Alligator mississippiensis: one gene and its partner. The protein of the gene in region 1 purifies or fractionates together with the protein of each later gene. This does not show direct contact. Links are inferred from orthologs where the notes say so. Each region holds a gene or a part of one and is shown in the gene's direction. Other genes may lie near its edges.

The links. Proteins that work in one complex are often made in the same cells at the same time.
Region 2: the proteins of CYFIP2 (region 1) and WASF2 purify together in Homo sapiens (co-immunoprecipitation; 3 studies listed by BioGRID and IntAct, with this or other methods). This does not show direct contact. The link is inferred for Alligator mississippiensis from reciprocal best matches to the Homo sapiens genes CYFIP2 and WASF2.

What each region holds. Positions count from the first base shown.
Region 1 is NC_081832.1:77,889,279-77,896,991, forward strand, and holds the start of CYFIP2 (cytoplasmic FMR1-interacting protein 2), read left to right. Parts: upstream 1-4,708; 5' UTR 4,709-4,790; intron 4,791-7,713. UniProt on the Homo sapiens protein: Involved in T-cell adhesion and p53/TP53-dependent induction of apoptosis. Does not bind RNA. As component of the WAVE1 complex, required for BDNF-NTRK2 endocytic trafficking and signaling from early endosomes.
Region 2 is NC_081829.1:2,438,651-2,445,949, forward strand, and holds the start of WASF2 (actin-binding protein WASF2), read left to right. Parts: upstream 1-4,289; 5' UTR 4,290-4,383; intron 4,384-7,299. UniProt on the Homo sapiens protein: Downstream effector molecule involved in the transmission of signals from tyrosine kinase receptors and small GTPases to the actin cytoskeleton. Promotes formation of actin filaments. Part of the WAVE complex that regulates lamellipodia formation.

The sequences.
Region 1 (7,713 bases):
ACCTCGCCAGATCATCGATTCCAACCTCAGTACTTAGACCTTTCCCATTGCCTCCACCCAGCAGGATCTGCCTGGCTGTCTTGAAAGATCCTGGGTTCAGTATCCACATGCACTTCCACCTGCTTTCATCACAGGCAACCCATCCCCATCCCCATCCCCTTCGCTTGCTTCATGCGTGCAAGGAGCACAGGGAAAACGGTGAGCTGGATCTATGTTTTCACTGGGAGAATAAGCTCTCCTTTTGCCCCTTCACGCTCCAGCCTCTCCGTCTGAGTCCAGACTACCTAGCAAAGTGTGAGTTGTTTTAAAAAGAGGTCATTTACCTTGAGCAAAAAGTTGGGGACAATTTCCACAGGCAGTCTAACTAACGAGGGTTGCGTGGAACCGAGCAGCTCCCCAGGCATGCACAGGCCTCCGAGTTTTGCAAGGATATGATCCAGCTGCAGAAAGTGTACTTGTGGTTTTGCTAATATTGCATAACGGTTGCAGAGGCCGGGTGAGAAAGGGAAACAATTTCAGTGATCTCACGGGTGCAATTCAGAGCAGAAGGCCCTTGTGACTGCTCCTGACTTGGGTCACCCTCTGCATTAGATGCCGATCCCACCGCTCGCAGTTTGGGGGCGGTATTAATGCAAGAATACAAAAAACCTGAGAGCACGACAGCGTATTGCAACGAAGGCTGACTTCTGCAGAGGGAAAGCATCGCAGCACCCAAGAGGGGTGCTGGCAGTGGCTAAATCTCTAGAGCATTTGCACCCTTATTTGTAGGTAGGGGAGGAAGTGTGCAGTGAGGATGGCACGTGCATCCCTGTAGCAGCACTGGCGACTAAAAAAATCTTCAGGGGATCATTGAGAGGGCTCATCCTGGTTGCCTGAAAGGAAATCAGGCAGGGATAGGAAAACTCCAAGATTTAGTTGGGAGCTGAATTGTTTGGGACTGGTGGTAGGAAAATATCCTGGCAGGGAGACGCTCTGGGAATACGTCTGTAGTTCAGACTGCATCATGTGCAATTTGCTGAATTGCTTCTGCTGAGATGAGCTGGCTAACGGCGCTGCCAGTTTAGACTCCATGGATACACTGCAGAGCTAAGATGGAGGAGGTTGCTATGGGTTTGCCTAAACGACTGTGAATCTGCAGGGTTTAAAATGGTTGAATAAAGCCACCCAGATGCTTACAGCAGTCAGGATGTTGAACCCACAGAAACCTGTATCCCAAGCACAGGAAAATGTAGGCAAGAGAGTTTTTCTGGGTATTGATCTGTGAAGGTACACATGTGGGGGAGCAACAGCAGAAAAGCCAGAGAAGCAGGGAGGGAAGGCAGCAAAAACTTTAAGATAAAACCACTGGAAATATGGCCTCTGAGAGAGCTTTAGGGCCGAGTGCCGTCTGGAAGAGGCTTGGAGCTGCGAGCGAAGAAACTGTCCTGTTCCCTGGCTCCTCACAAATTCAGGGAAATCAGACAGCCACATCCTTTGCAAATAATTAGGAGTCTAATAGCAGAATCTGATTCCACCTCCAGGTTCTCCTCCAAACCTGGACAAATACTCCAAATACTTGATTCACCCCTCGAGCCAGAAGTGGTAATACATAGATGTTAGGGTCGGAAGGGACCTCAATAGATCATCAAGTCCGACCCCCTGCATAAGCAGGAAAGAGTGCTGGGTCTAGATGACCCCAGCTAGATACTCGTCTAACCTCCTCTTGAAGACCCCCAGGGTAGGGGAGAGCACCACCTCCCTTGGGAGCCCGTTCCAGACCTTGGCCACTCGAACTGTGAAGAAGTTCTTCCTAATGTCCAATCTAAATCTGCTCTCTGCTAGCTTGTGGCCATTGTTTCTTGTAACCCCCGGGGGCGCCTTGGTGAATAAATCCTCACCAATTCCCTTCTGTGCCCCCGTGATGAACTTATAGGCAGCCACAAGGTCGCCTCTCAACCTTCTCTTGCGGAGGCTGAAAAGGTCCAGTTTCTCTAGTCTCTCCTCGTAGGGCTTGGTCTGCAGGCCCTTGACCATGCGAGTTGCCCTTCGCTGTACCCTCTCCAGGTTATCCGCATCCTTCTTGAAGTGCGGCGCCCAGAATTGCACGCAGTACTCCAACTGCGGTCTGACCAGCGCCCGATAGAGGGGAAGTATCACCTCCCTGGACCTATTTGTCATGCATCTGCTGATGCACGATAAAGTGCCATTGGCTTTTCTGATGGCTTCGTCACACTGCCGGCTCACGTTCATCTTGGAGTCCACTAGGACTCCAAGATCCCTTTCCACCTCTGTGCCACCCAGCAGGTCATTCCCTAGGCTGTAGGTGTGCTGGACATTTTTCCTCCCTAGGTGCAGCACTTTGCATTTCTCCTTGTTGAGAAATGCACCCAACTCAACTGTTAGCATGGCACTATGCATGTGTGTGTGTGTGCGTGAGCATGCATGCACACGTGTGTGCTCACATCTGGGACCAGACTACTGGAAGAAAAGACATTGCCCTGAAAGATGACGTGCCAGACAGGTGCGGGCTTGGCTTCCTCACTGAAACTATTCACCGTCTCATGGGCAGGTGCCTGGACCTCATGACCTGAGCGTGCACTGAGCAGCACAATGCTGTGGCCAAGGTAATGCCCTACAGATTGGCTTGTACCGGACAGATGGCCAAGGCTACCGACCCTCGCTGCAAGCACAGATTGCCACCAGTGCTGGAAGATGATGAAACCAAAACACATTGGGATAGGTCAACCATCGCGGAGCAAACCTTGGCACACAAACCACCACACCCAGATAAGGGGCTACCAAATACTAACTGGAAAAAGAAAGTAAATCGGGATTTATTATTGACTCTCTCTCCCAATGCAAGAATGAGGGGTCATAACATTGAATATTAAGAAAAACTTTCTCTCTAGGAGGGTAGTAAAACACTGGAACAGGTTACCTAGAGAGGTGGTGGAGTCTCCATCCTTGGAAGTGTTTAAGACCCAGCTCAACAAAGCCTTGGCTGGGATGATGTAGCTGGGGCTGGTCCTGCTCGGAGCAGGGGCTGGACTAGATGTGACTCCTGAGCTCTCTTCCAACCTGAATTTTCTATATTTCTATTCTGTGACCTAAGGACTGACCCAGTAGACAGCAATTCTTATATTCAGACACCGTGTTTGTGGATGAGATGACCAGGCTAGCACTAGTCATTGATGTTGCTATCCCAGCCCATCAGAAAATCACAGTACACTACAGCTGGAAGGGAGCTTGGGAGGCCACATCTAATTCAAGGCAGGATCAATCCTGTCTCAACCACCCTGGACAAGTGTTTGTTTAATCTGCTCTTAAAAGCTTCCAAACTGGCAGGGCCTGGAAAGGGCTGATCCTGCCTGAGGCGGGGGGGTTGGACTAGATGTCGTCTTCTCTAGGAGGCTCATGATGCTCTCTCAGGAATCCAACCCGGTGCTGAACCACCCTGATAGCCAGAGAAAAGCTCAGACGATGCCCGAAGCTGGCCACGGCTGTAAAGAAGGTGCTCTGGCTCCTCCAGAAGGATTGCCATGCAACATGACGTTACGCAGTCGACCCATTCAAACCACTTCTTCTTCCATCTGGTGGATGCAGATATGGAGCGGCAACTCCAGTTTGACAGGGAGGTGGCTGAGCCAGACAAGGAGCAGAGAGAGGATGGATGTGAGACCTCCTTCGTACCACCCGGCTCTTCCTTCTCTAGGGGATCCTCTCCCTGGGAGCCAGCAGGTGCCCATCGGCCATCGTAGGTCCTGCCATATTCTGGATCAGCAGTTCCCAATCCGCGGGATGCATACCGGACAACCTGAGAGTGGTACACGTTAACAGATTTATTATAATTATTTTATGATAAAAACTTGCTGGTGGCACTTAAGGTTGAACTAAAAAAATTGCCAGTGGTACTTAAGGCTGTATCGTTTTAAATGGTGGTGCTCCATCTGCCCGAGTTTGGGAACCCCCGTTCTGGAGGTGACCTTGGAGGCTGGTGGCAAAAGCACAACAATGGCACCGTGCCCTTTTGGACGCCCCCCTGCTGAAACCACACCTGCCCTTGCCAAGCCGCTCTCCAGTAGCACTCGTGTCCTACATTTCCTTGTATAGTCCAGCCTCACCTGCGCTGTCACAACCTCCCTTGGGAAGGGGACCAGGAGGCAGGGGTGCACCCCAGGGGTCCCCGGGGACCTGGCATTGCTGCAGCCTTGCATCTCTGGGGGAAGAGCTGGGGGGGGGGGCAGGGCCAGAGGGGTAGATGCTGCAGGGGCAGATGCCGCAGGGGCAGGGGTAGATGATGTAGGGGCAGGGGTAGATGCTGCAGGGGTAGATGATGTAGGGGCAGGGGCAGGGGGGTAGATGCTGCAGGGGCAGGGGTAGGTGATGTAGGGGCAGGGGTAGATGCAGGGGTAGATGCTGCAGGGGCAGGGGCAGGGGGGTAGATGCTGCAGGGGCAGGGGTAGGTGATGTAGGGGCAGGGGTAGATGCAGGGGTAGATGCTGCAGGGGTAGATGATGTAGGGGCAGGGGCAGGGGGTAGATGCTGCAGGGGCAGGGGTAGGTGATGTAGGGGCAGGGGTAGATGCTGCAGAGGTAGATGCTGCAGGGGCCGGTGCCCGGGCGCAGCGGAGAGCCGAGGAAGTGCACTTGCTGCAGCCATTTCCTCTCTTTGTGTGACACACGGAGGCGCTCACACTCGCTCACACGCGCACACGCGCACGCACCGGCAGCGGCTGCAGCAGCAGAGGCGGCGGCTGCAGCATCCTCCTCCCGGCGCGGCCCGGCCCGGCCCGGCCCGGCCCCGCGGCGCAGGTAAGCGGCTCCCCCGCTCCATCCCGCGGCAAGCAGGATGCTCCCGGCTGCCGGGGCTGGAGGGGCCCGGAGGACCAGAGCCTGCCTGGGGCGTGGGAGAGGCAGGGATGGGGCTGGAGGGCAGGGGAGCTGGGCATGGCCACTGTCAGACCCAGCAGAGATGGGGCAGGGGGGCTGGGGTGCAGGGGAACCGGGCATGGGCATGGTCAGACCCAGCAGAGATGGGGCAGAGGGGCTGGAGGGCAGGGGAACCGGGCATGGGCATGGTCAGACCCAGCAGAGATGGGGCAGAGGGGCTGGAGGGCAGGGGAACCGGGCATGGGCATGGTCAGACCCAGCAGAGATGGGGCAGAGGGGCTGGGGTGCAGGGGAAGCAGGCATGGGCATGTTCAGGCCCAGCAGAGATGGGGCTGGAGGGCAGGGGAACCGGGCATGGGCATGGGCATGGTCAGACCCAGCAGAGGTGGGGCAGGAGTCTGGCCAGGGCCTGGAGCACCAAGGAACCAGCACAGCAGCTGTAGCAGCAGCGAGGATGACTGCATTTGGGCTCCTCGGTGCTGGCTTTGTCAGCCAGGGCCTGGCCCCAGAAGGCAAGGTGCTGCCTGCTTCCCTAAGGAGGGTACGGGGAGCGCTTCCCTCCAGGGAGCCCCTGGATGCTGGGGTCCCATGGAAGCATCCCTCCTGGAGACCCCGCCTGGGCCTGCAGACCTGTCCCTGCCCACTCGCCCCTGCCAGCCCAAGCTCTTTGGTGCCGGCCGGGTCCCGGGGTGAGGGAAGGAGCCGTGGGTGTTGCAGGCAATGCCTGCAGGCTGAGGGGGTCTGGTGGGGTGGGAGAGGCGAACGGAGACCTTTGTGCGTGCTCGGGGGCTTGGAGTTGTTTGTGCATTTGCTTGGCGGTGGGAATTCAGGACAAACCTTGATGCTTCAGAGGGGAAAAGAGCCTTAGCAAGGGGCAGCCTCACTGGGCTCCCTCGAGCCATCTGCTGCTTTCAGCACGGGGGTCTGGGGCGGTGGTTTTTGGATCCGAGGGATCTCTAGTGATTATGGGCCGGCCGAGCCACCTGAGCCAGCCCGCTGTACACGGGAAGCAGAAAGAACCAGCTGCTGGTGGCTTAGGTGAGGAGAGCTGTCAGATGCTGGTCACCGGGATGGATTACTTGGGCTAAATCCTGCTGTCTGTTCAACCCACGTCCATCCAGCGGTGCTGCCTGGAGAGAAGAGTTTAGCTCTTCATGCCTCCCGCTGATTTTCCTTAGGGAAGCCGAAAGGAACCACGCAGCACCTTGCTCGGTGGGGCCGGCGTCTGTCCAGCAAACCCGGCCTGAGCAGCCCAAATCTGTGATACTGCAACTATTATTGTTGTTCTTGTCACTATTAACAATAGCAGCAACAAGAACAAAACAAGGAAAGGAGGATGGGATTTTTCAAACATTTGGCTCACAATTCATTACACTTCTCTGCCTATGTGAGATTGAGTTTCCCAGGAAATGAATGTTTCCCTGTCATCTACCAGCAATCCCAATTAGACAGGACTCTGGCAATGCCGTTTCCAAACAATAGCACAGGATCCCTTTCCTTTGTCACCTCCTGCCACGAAAATATTGGCTAAGTCATCCCCCCCACAAAAGCACAGAGGTGGTAAGAGAAAGGTAGTTAGCCCTATTTGTCTGCATTTATGGTAGAGGTGCACCTTCTAGACTAGCAAAAAAAAAGATGGTTAGCGAGGTTAGATTATGTCCAGATTCAAGGACTCCACGTACAGGGCCGCTGGCCATGGCTGGGATGTAGCAGAGGGGCAGGAGAGCGCCGTGCTTATTAATCGTACTTGTAGCAGTGACTCAGGAGCCCCGATCTGCAAGCCTGGCTCCCCGGGAGCTGCACTCCCCCCGCACGCATCTCCTGGATTGCAAAGTGACTGTGCACCCCTGGAAGTCCTATTTCACGTGAGTCGGGGTGGACAGATGGGGCCTGAAGAAGCCTCGCTGGCTGAGATCGATCCTGAATGTTTCCTCCTCCTGCATCCCGGTCCATTGTAATCCCATTCTCTCCCCCTGGCTCCGTCCCTTCCTCGTGTTTTCAGCCATGCGGTCACTATATAGTGACTACTTGTATACCCCCTCCCTCTGCCCATAGTATGGAGATAGATGAATTTATTCTTCTCCTCTGTTCACACAGATGAAGTTATTCTTCTGACTCTTCAGCAAAGGAGGGTGGTTTCACAGAAACATGATGGTTGTGAGGCTAGATCTACATTGATTTATGGTCACTCTGAAGCCCTCTGTGCTGCAGACAGTACAGCTCAACCCTGGCAGTCATCCAGCCCAATGCTGGCAGCTCAGCACCACGTCTAGGTCTAAGGTCCATCCCACTGCTGCCTTCTCCCTTCAGGGTGTCGGGGGGTCACCTCCGTGGACAGGGTTCAAGCACAGCCAGCAATAACCCCCCAGTTCTCTGCACCCGACTTCCAAGTACTCTGCACCCCACGCTACCTGCCTCTAGGCACAAATCTGGAAGGAGAGACACATAATCTGTAGAAAACCAGCATCCTTTGAAAACCTGTGGTGCATCTCCATAAGATGTAAGAAATATATAAGATATAAAAAATAAGCAGCAGTGTGGATGTCCTTGGCACAGGCCACAAAGTGGGGCATCCTTTAAGAGCCAGGCCGTGGCCATAAACAAGCCCATCTCTCCTCATCACAGCTGCTGTCCTCTGTGCCAGGCTTTCTGCCCACTTCCCCATGGCGCTGCTGCCCTGTCTGTGATACCACAGGCAGCTGGGTTAGAGTGCCCTGATCAGTAAAATCCCCCCTCTGCAGTTTTTAGAGCTGTTTTGGCATGGGCAGGGGTCTCTTCGGCTGGACCAAAGCAAGCTGACTAGTGCAGACAGCCTGAATCACTTTCTAGCTCTTGTCCATGCTGT
Region 2 (7,299 bases), on another chromosome or scaffold:
AGACCCTTTCGGCTGCTGCAATAAAAACTCCCTGAGTTGGTTTCTGGGGTGGACCATGCAAAATAAGACCATGTCTTTATTGCCCACTGCATCAGTGCCACCCAAACTGGCCGTGCCAGCCCGCTTCTTGCACTCGGTGGCGGGGGGCCAAATCCTGCCTGCCTCTTAGCACCGCCTCACCCTTGTCCCTGGCTGCAGATGCAAAATATCTCGGAGGCGACAGCCAGGTTTTGTCTCCTCTGGGCAAGTTCCCCCTTCCCACGGGGGCGGGAGCCGGGAGGAAGGGTGGCGTCGGAGTTTCGTTTTTTCTGAGATACCGTTAACTAGTGAGCAAAGGTTGCAGTGTCTCCATGGAGACAAGACAGTGAGCGAGACGGCGTGTGTGTGGATCTAAGGTTAGCGCTGATTAGTAAATGTCAGCAGCACCGCTGCGTTCCCGCAAGTGCCCTCCACCAGCGCCAGCGCCGGCCTGGGCGCCCGGCGGCACGGGCAAAGCAGCGAGCCAGGCTGGGGGCGAGGGCACCTCCGTGCCCACGGGGAACCGGGATCCCGCTGACCCCTGGGCAGTGCTGGCGTTGTCACTTTGCCATCGTGACCGCTGCCAGCCCAGGTCTCCAGCCCCCCCGAGGTTTATCGCGGCCCCTCGCTGCGCCCCGTGCAAGCATCAATCGAAGGGGGAGACTGGGGTGCAAGATGCGTGCTCCTTGGCCCTTGGCCTGGCCGCTGGGCTTGGGGTGCCATGCTGATCAGGCTCCGGCAGAAGATCTCGAGGATGACAAACCGGAGCGCTCTGCAAAACAGAAAAGCGCAGCTGTCTCCGTCTTGCGGAGAGAGAAACGGCGACTCGGAGAGATAAAGGGGTTTGTGGTTAGGACTGACGTGATGCCAGTCGCTGTCGCAGCTCGGCGCCTGGATCAAACCTCGCTGCTCCCAGCTCCCAGCCCTGCTCTGTCACCACGAGGCTACGTGGCCTCCCTACAAAACAGGTCATTTCGGGGTCCTGGGGGCTTCGGTCGCTGAGTTGAGCCCCTTTTGAAGAACAGGCCCGTTTTCGTGTCCATAAAGTGCTGACGGCGTGACGAGCCAGCGCGTCGCAAACCTCCCTTGCAGCTTATCAGAATGAGAAATGTAAGCAGAGCTCTCCTCCACGCAGCACAAGTGAGCAGCTGGCTGGGAAAACCAAGGGACCGCTGAAGCTCACAGGCAGGATTTCACGTCCGCCCCCAACACACAGCACTGCACCACCGCTCTGTCTTCACAAAGCAGATCAATCAGCTCGACGGGCTGGCTTTACTTGATGCTCTTCGGTCCCCGCATCCCTTCAGCTTTGGTCCGGTTCGGAGGCCTGCACGTGAACAAGTGCTCGGCCCCGGAGGCGTTGCTCTAATGTCGAGGCCAGGTGCAAATCCCTGCCCGTTGCCTCCGTTTCCCAAAGCCAGTCGCAATCTGCGGGTGCCTCTCGGTCGGAGGGTGCGCTGCTCCGTGCACCCCTCCTCAGGCAGGGCAACCGTGCAGTCCCAGGTGAGACGGCAGCACGTACCGAGCCTGCCCGGGGATTAGCAATGCAGCGGCACAGGCTCCAACGCAGGCTGGACAAACCTGTCCGAAATCCTGGGTACGTGCTGGGCTACAGATGAGCAAGGAGGCTTTTAGGCCCCCCGTTCCTAGAGACCCCCCGTGTTATGTGGGCAGCGGGGATGTACTCGGATGTGCTGCAATACCCACGCGGTTGTTAGCACCGAAGCAGTTGCCTATCGACACACGCTGCCGTTATGCTGCAGTGCCGTGAAGAGATCACCCTGTGCAGCTCCGAGCACATGGTCAGCTCCACGCAGAGTTGCAGTGCGATGGCCCAGTGAGCCCTCCCGAGTCCAGATGGGCAGTGGCTTGATCTTACTTAGCTCCCCGAGATCAAGCATCTTATTTCCAGAAGGCCTCGTTCGGTCTGCTGGCCCCCTTCGGTGGTCGGCACTAAGATTTTGACAGGCACAACCCACGGGCTTAACGTAATGAGATTGCAGCGCTGGGGAAGGATAGAAAAAAGGAGCATAAGCTCAGGACTGAAGTTCACCATGAAAGCAGCGTGTCATGGAAAAGCCTCCATCATCTCCCCCCCCCCCGCCCACGCCAGCTGCTCAGCTAGTCACCTTGGCGGTCTGCAGGGCAGCGCAGCCAGAGGATCATTTACAGGCAGAAAATACAGAAAGGCAATTGGCAGGTGATGAGATCCTTTCCAGGAGAGAAATAAGTGTCAGGGGGCAGCGCGGCTGCCTGGGATACTGCAGCACAGCACATATTCAGGAGGGCTAAACTGAGACACGTGTGCGTGCAAGCACCCCCCCCCCCCCCGAGATAAAGGTTGCAGAGCAGACACAGATTAGGTGGCTCCCTTGAGGCTATGACACCTAGAGAGAGAAGCAAATCCTCTTCGAGTGAACTGGCAGCGAGGAAAACCTGGAGTCCAAAACCTCCAGCACCTTCCCGTTGGGGCAGAGGCTACGCCTTGCGGCGGTGCGAGCTTGTTAGCACCGCAGAGGTGCGGGGCACCGGGCAAGGGGCTTCTCACGGGGAGAGCGTAGATCCGTTGCTCTCAACTTCGTCCCGGCGTAGACTCAAGGTCCCCTGGGAAAATGCCAGCTCTTCGCTTTCACTGTTTTTTTGGACTACAGAAAAATAACACGAGCATTTTTTTTTTTCCCTGTGGCAAAGCACTCGGAAAGACCCCAGCTGCGGATTCCTATTTGAAACCTCTGGGTTTTTCTCCTGAATCGCTAACCGGGCAGTGGCACCCCGGGGAGGATCTCAGGGCACCCTGCTTGAGAATCCCTGGTGCTGATGGGAGGAGCTCCTGGAGGGGTGGCGCCAAGTAATTAGTCCTGATTATTTCAAGATGTGAGCTAAAGGCAGGCCCCAGGGAAGGGGGGGGGGGAGATGGGATGCGGTCAGGGAGCACTGGCAGATTGGCAGGTGCTGATTAAGACGAGCGTGACCTTCAGCCCTGGAGATGCTCGCTGACCCAGTTGCTGCGGCGTTCAGCTGCCGAGCCGTCCTTTGTTGGCCTTTGCTGTGGCAGCCCCGCGAGGTGCTGCGCTGCGGGAGGGGAGACGGAGAGCTGCGCGGGCCTTGCACGTGGCTCGTGTGGCAGGTGTGTCGTCTGCGGGCGCCGGGGGAGTCCAGGAGGGTCCCTGGGCTGTTCTCTTTGTGCTGTGCGCAAAGTGGGGCGAGGACGAGCTGCTTTCCCCACCCCACCCCGCTCCCGTCCCACGTCCCCAGCGCAGCCAGCTTCCCGTGGCACGTGGAAACGCAAGGGGGAAGTAGGTGGGCTGTGGTGCGCTCTAGCTAGTGCCTAATCCAGCTCCAGCTGGCACAGTTTAGAGCGACCCCCAGGCTGCTCTAACTTTCCCTAAGGCCGGGAGGGAATCGGGGAGTTTGCTCCTACGCGTGTGCCATTGGTGCAAAGGGGAGCGCCTGCACTGCTCTCGCCTGCCGCGCGTCCCTGCAGCATTGCAAAGGGCATATATTGGGATTTGGGGGGGGACCCCAAATGTAGGGTGGCACTTAGTGAATTAATTATAATGCATTTGCAAGGGCACTCCATCCCTCGTGGGCTGAGCAGATGGAGGCCTCTGGCTCGTGCTGCTGATGTGACTTGTGCCCATTTCCTTGCCCTGCTAGTTGTGCCTCTTAATCCGGAAGTGGCAGGCAGGCCAGGCTGCGGCACTGCAGGGGTTAAACAGGCACCGCCCGCCTCTGCTCCGCCCCCTGCCGGAAGGCCCAGCCCCACCCCCGCTCTCGTTTCCATTTGGGCCCTTCCCTCTACTAGTATCCCCCCTCCCCCTTTTCTTTTTCCGAAGTGGACCCTTCCTCAGAGTTCACGAGCCGTGCGGGTAGGACAAGACCAATGCCAAATGAGGGGTGGGTCAGCCCTGGAAATGCCCACCGTTCCCTAAAAAAAAAGAAAAACAAGGCAGCCCAATGGCATCCAAAGAAGACACATAACTATTTCCGTCAAGTGCTAGCCTTGAGTTCCCACCCCAAGCAGCCATGCTTCGCTTCCCCTCCCCTCCCCTCCCCGCGGGTGGTACGTTCCCCCTTGTTTACTCTGTTTGCGTCGCCCGCTTGGGTGCGGCCCCGGTGTTACGCTAGCGTCGTACGCAAGCGGCGCAGCACGGCGGCTTTGACAGGCGGCGCCCAGCAGCCAATGGCATGCGGGGAGAGGCAGGCGGGGAGCCAATGGGGCGGCGCGCCGGCGCCCGGGGAGGCGGGGCGGGGCCGCGCCGGGCCGGGCGGGCGGGAGGGGAGTCGCGGAATGGCGGCCGGCGGGGGCGGCCCGCCCCGGGGGTAGCGGCGGCGGCGGCGGCCGAGACGCGGCTCCAAGCGGGGGTGAGCGAGCGCGCGCGGGAGGGCGAGGGGGGGCAGCCGGGCTCCAGGCCGCTGCCACATAGGGAGCCACGGGCCTGTGGTGGGGGGGCGCTTCCTGCCACATAGTGACCGGGGGACTGGTCCAGGGGGGCTGCCCCCCGCTTATGGGGTTATAGCCCCCCCCTTGGGGTGTTTGCCCCCTCCCCCCCCCTTGGGGTGTGTGGGGCTGCCCCCTCCCCCCCCCTTGGGGTGTGTGCCCCCTCCCCCCCCCTTGGGGTGTGTGGGGCTGCCCCCTCCCCCCCCGTTGGGGTGTGTGGAGTTGCCCTCTCCCCCCCCTTTGGGGTGTATGCCCCCTCCCCCCTCTTGGGGTGTGTGGAGTTGCCCCCTCCCCCCCCTTTGGGGTGTGTGCCCCCTCCCCCCTCTTGGGGTGTGTGGAGTTGCCCCCTCCCCCCCCCTTTGGGGTGTGTGCCCCCTCCCCCCCCCTTTGGGGTGTGTGCCCCCTCCCCCCCCCTTTGGGGTGTGTGCCCCCTCCCCCCCCCTTTGGGGTGTGTGCCCCCTCCCCCCCTTGGGGTGTGTGGGGTGCCACGACAGGTGCGTGGGGCTGTGCTGTGCCCCACCCGCAGCAGTGCCGGGGGCGGGAGAGCGCGTGGTCCCGGCGTGGCAGGGTGGGGCCGAGGACACCTCGCCCTAGGCGGCCCCCCATCCCGGAGGGGCTGCGCGGGGTGCAGCAGGCCCAGGGCAGCCCCGCGCTGACCTCCACACGGGTGTCATCTCCCGCGTGTCCTTGGGCCTGCCCGAAAGCAGCACTCGGAGGACACGAGCCCTGAATCCCTTCGGGCCGGGGGAAGTTGCGGCACTTCCCGGCCCTCGGGCCCTGCTCTGACATCAGGGAAGTTTTCTCAAAGTTTGTGCTGCTGCCTGGGCTGGACGTGTCTCGGTGACATCCTCAGCCCCGCTCGCCCTCCCGCGCAGGGGGGGCGGCTGGCAGTTTTCGATGCCGCTTTAAAATGCCGAGAGCGGGTTTGTTTCCCGGGGTGTTAAAAGTGTTGGTGACCTGCCTGCTGCACGGCGCCCGCTATCCCAGGCATCAGAGGAGATGTTAGCAGCGAGGAGGAGCTTTTAGAAGATGTTTCTGCTGTGGACAGGGCTGTAATTTGTCAAGCCCTTTGTGCTCCTTACGCTTGTATGACATCCTTAAGAGCAGGAAGCCTTGCGAGAGGGGGGAAAAGTTGAAAGTGAAAGACGTGCCGGGGCCAGCGAAGAACAAAGGCCCTGCCTTGCAGTAGAACTGACACGAGAAATGTTACTTAATGGGCAATATTTAAGTGTGCACGCTTGCACAGTATTTGCCAAATGAGGAAGAAAAAGGGCCTAAACGTCTCACACTAGTTTGAAATGCCTGCAGAGCCGGTGCTTATTAAAAGCTGCTCACATGGACGTGTTCAGCGTTAGGATTTTCGGTTCAGCAGAAGTTCTGTGTCGAGCGCTCTGAGCGGGTTTTGTCTTGTATTTAAGTTATCCTTTTCCATTTCGTGTTTTAAACCAATCGAATTTAAACTTCAATGATATCTTTATAGTATGACTTGGAAAATCTGATCAGTTGCAGACTCGCAATCAATGCTTTACCTGGCGAGAGGACTGAGCGGGCCAGATGCTTCTGCAGATTTTATGCTTTTTTTTGAGAGAGAGAGCGAGAGTTTTTGTTGAAAATGTGAGTGGGAAAGCTGGACCTAAGGTGCAGAGGTCAACCTAATCCAGATCCCTGTGTGAGCCACCACTTGGAAGGCAGGACCTGAGTGTGTTGTCAGCAGCAGGGATTGAACCTGGGACCTCTGCATTCAAAAGCATGAGTTTTCTACTATGAGTTGTTTTTATGTGTTGGGGTTTGTTTTTAACTCCAAAGCCTTTGTTCTCCCTGCCAGGACTATAGCAGGCTCATCAACTTTAGGGTTTAACCTAGCCAAAACGAGGGTGCAAGCACCATGCTGAGTGGGTGGAAGCTACGAGAAAATAATCTTCCAGGATGAATGGACTGTACATCTTTCTGAGGCCCTGCTTCACTTTGGTTGGGGGTTTTTTATGTACGTGTGCGCCTCAGAGTAACCAGTGTGCATTACCTATCCTGAAGGGAAGACAGGGCCACCTCAGTTTTACCGCGAGGAAATTCAGCAGCATGCCTTGTCTTGATCATTTTTTAAATTTATCATGCCTGTTGTTAATTATGTGGCTAAGACCGGAGTCTGGATCCACTGGGTCCAGTACCACTTCTACTGGCCAGGGTCTTTCCAAGCACCCGCAGGTGACATGAGCAACACACCCGGCAGTTTCACCACCGCCTTTTCCTTCTGAATCTGGTGAGCGGCAGTGAATGCTTTGTCTGGGATGATGTAGTTGGGCTGGTCTTGCTTGGAGCAGGGGGTTGGACTACATGTGACCTCCTGAGCTCCCTCCCACCCCAAATTTTCTATGATTCAATGAAACTGGTAGAACCCGGGGAAGCTGAGTGGTCCTTAAAACTTCAAGGTGGACCTCCACTCACCATTCGTTTGCCCCTTGCCATGATAAGTTTTTGGTGAACTTCCTAAGCTCAAATTTGTACGGGTGTCCAGAACATTCACGATAATGGAAAACGTGCTAGAATAAGAGCTGAAGAAAAAGGCAAGCGGGCTTTGGGTAGTAGTACTGATGCAGAGTGCAGCAATGTATTTGTAGTGCTGTATTTAAAACAAAACAAAAAACAGTCTTAATAAGCAGTAGACAGCCACAAAACTATTGACGAATTTTTTGGCAAAAGGGCTGAATTAGTAGTAATGTTCTGTTGAGCCAAATTTTATACCCACATCTCTAGGAAATGTATTGTGTGCCAAATAAATACAGAAAGCATATCTTAAAGCTTACAGTTGAGAACACTTTCATGAGTAGTGACTCATTGGTCAG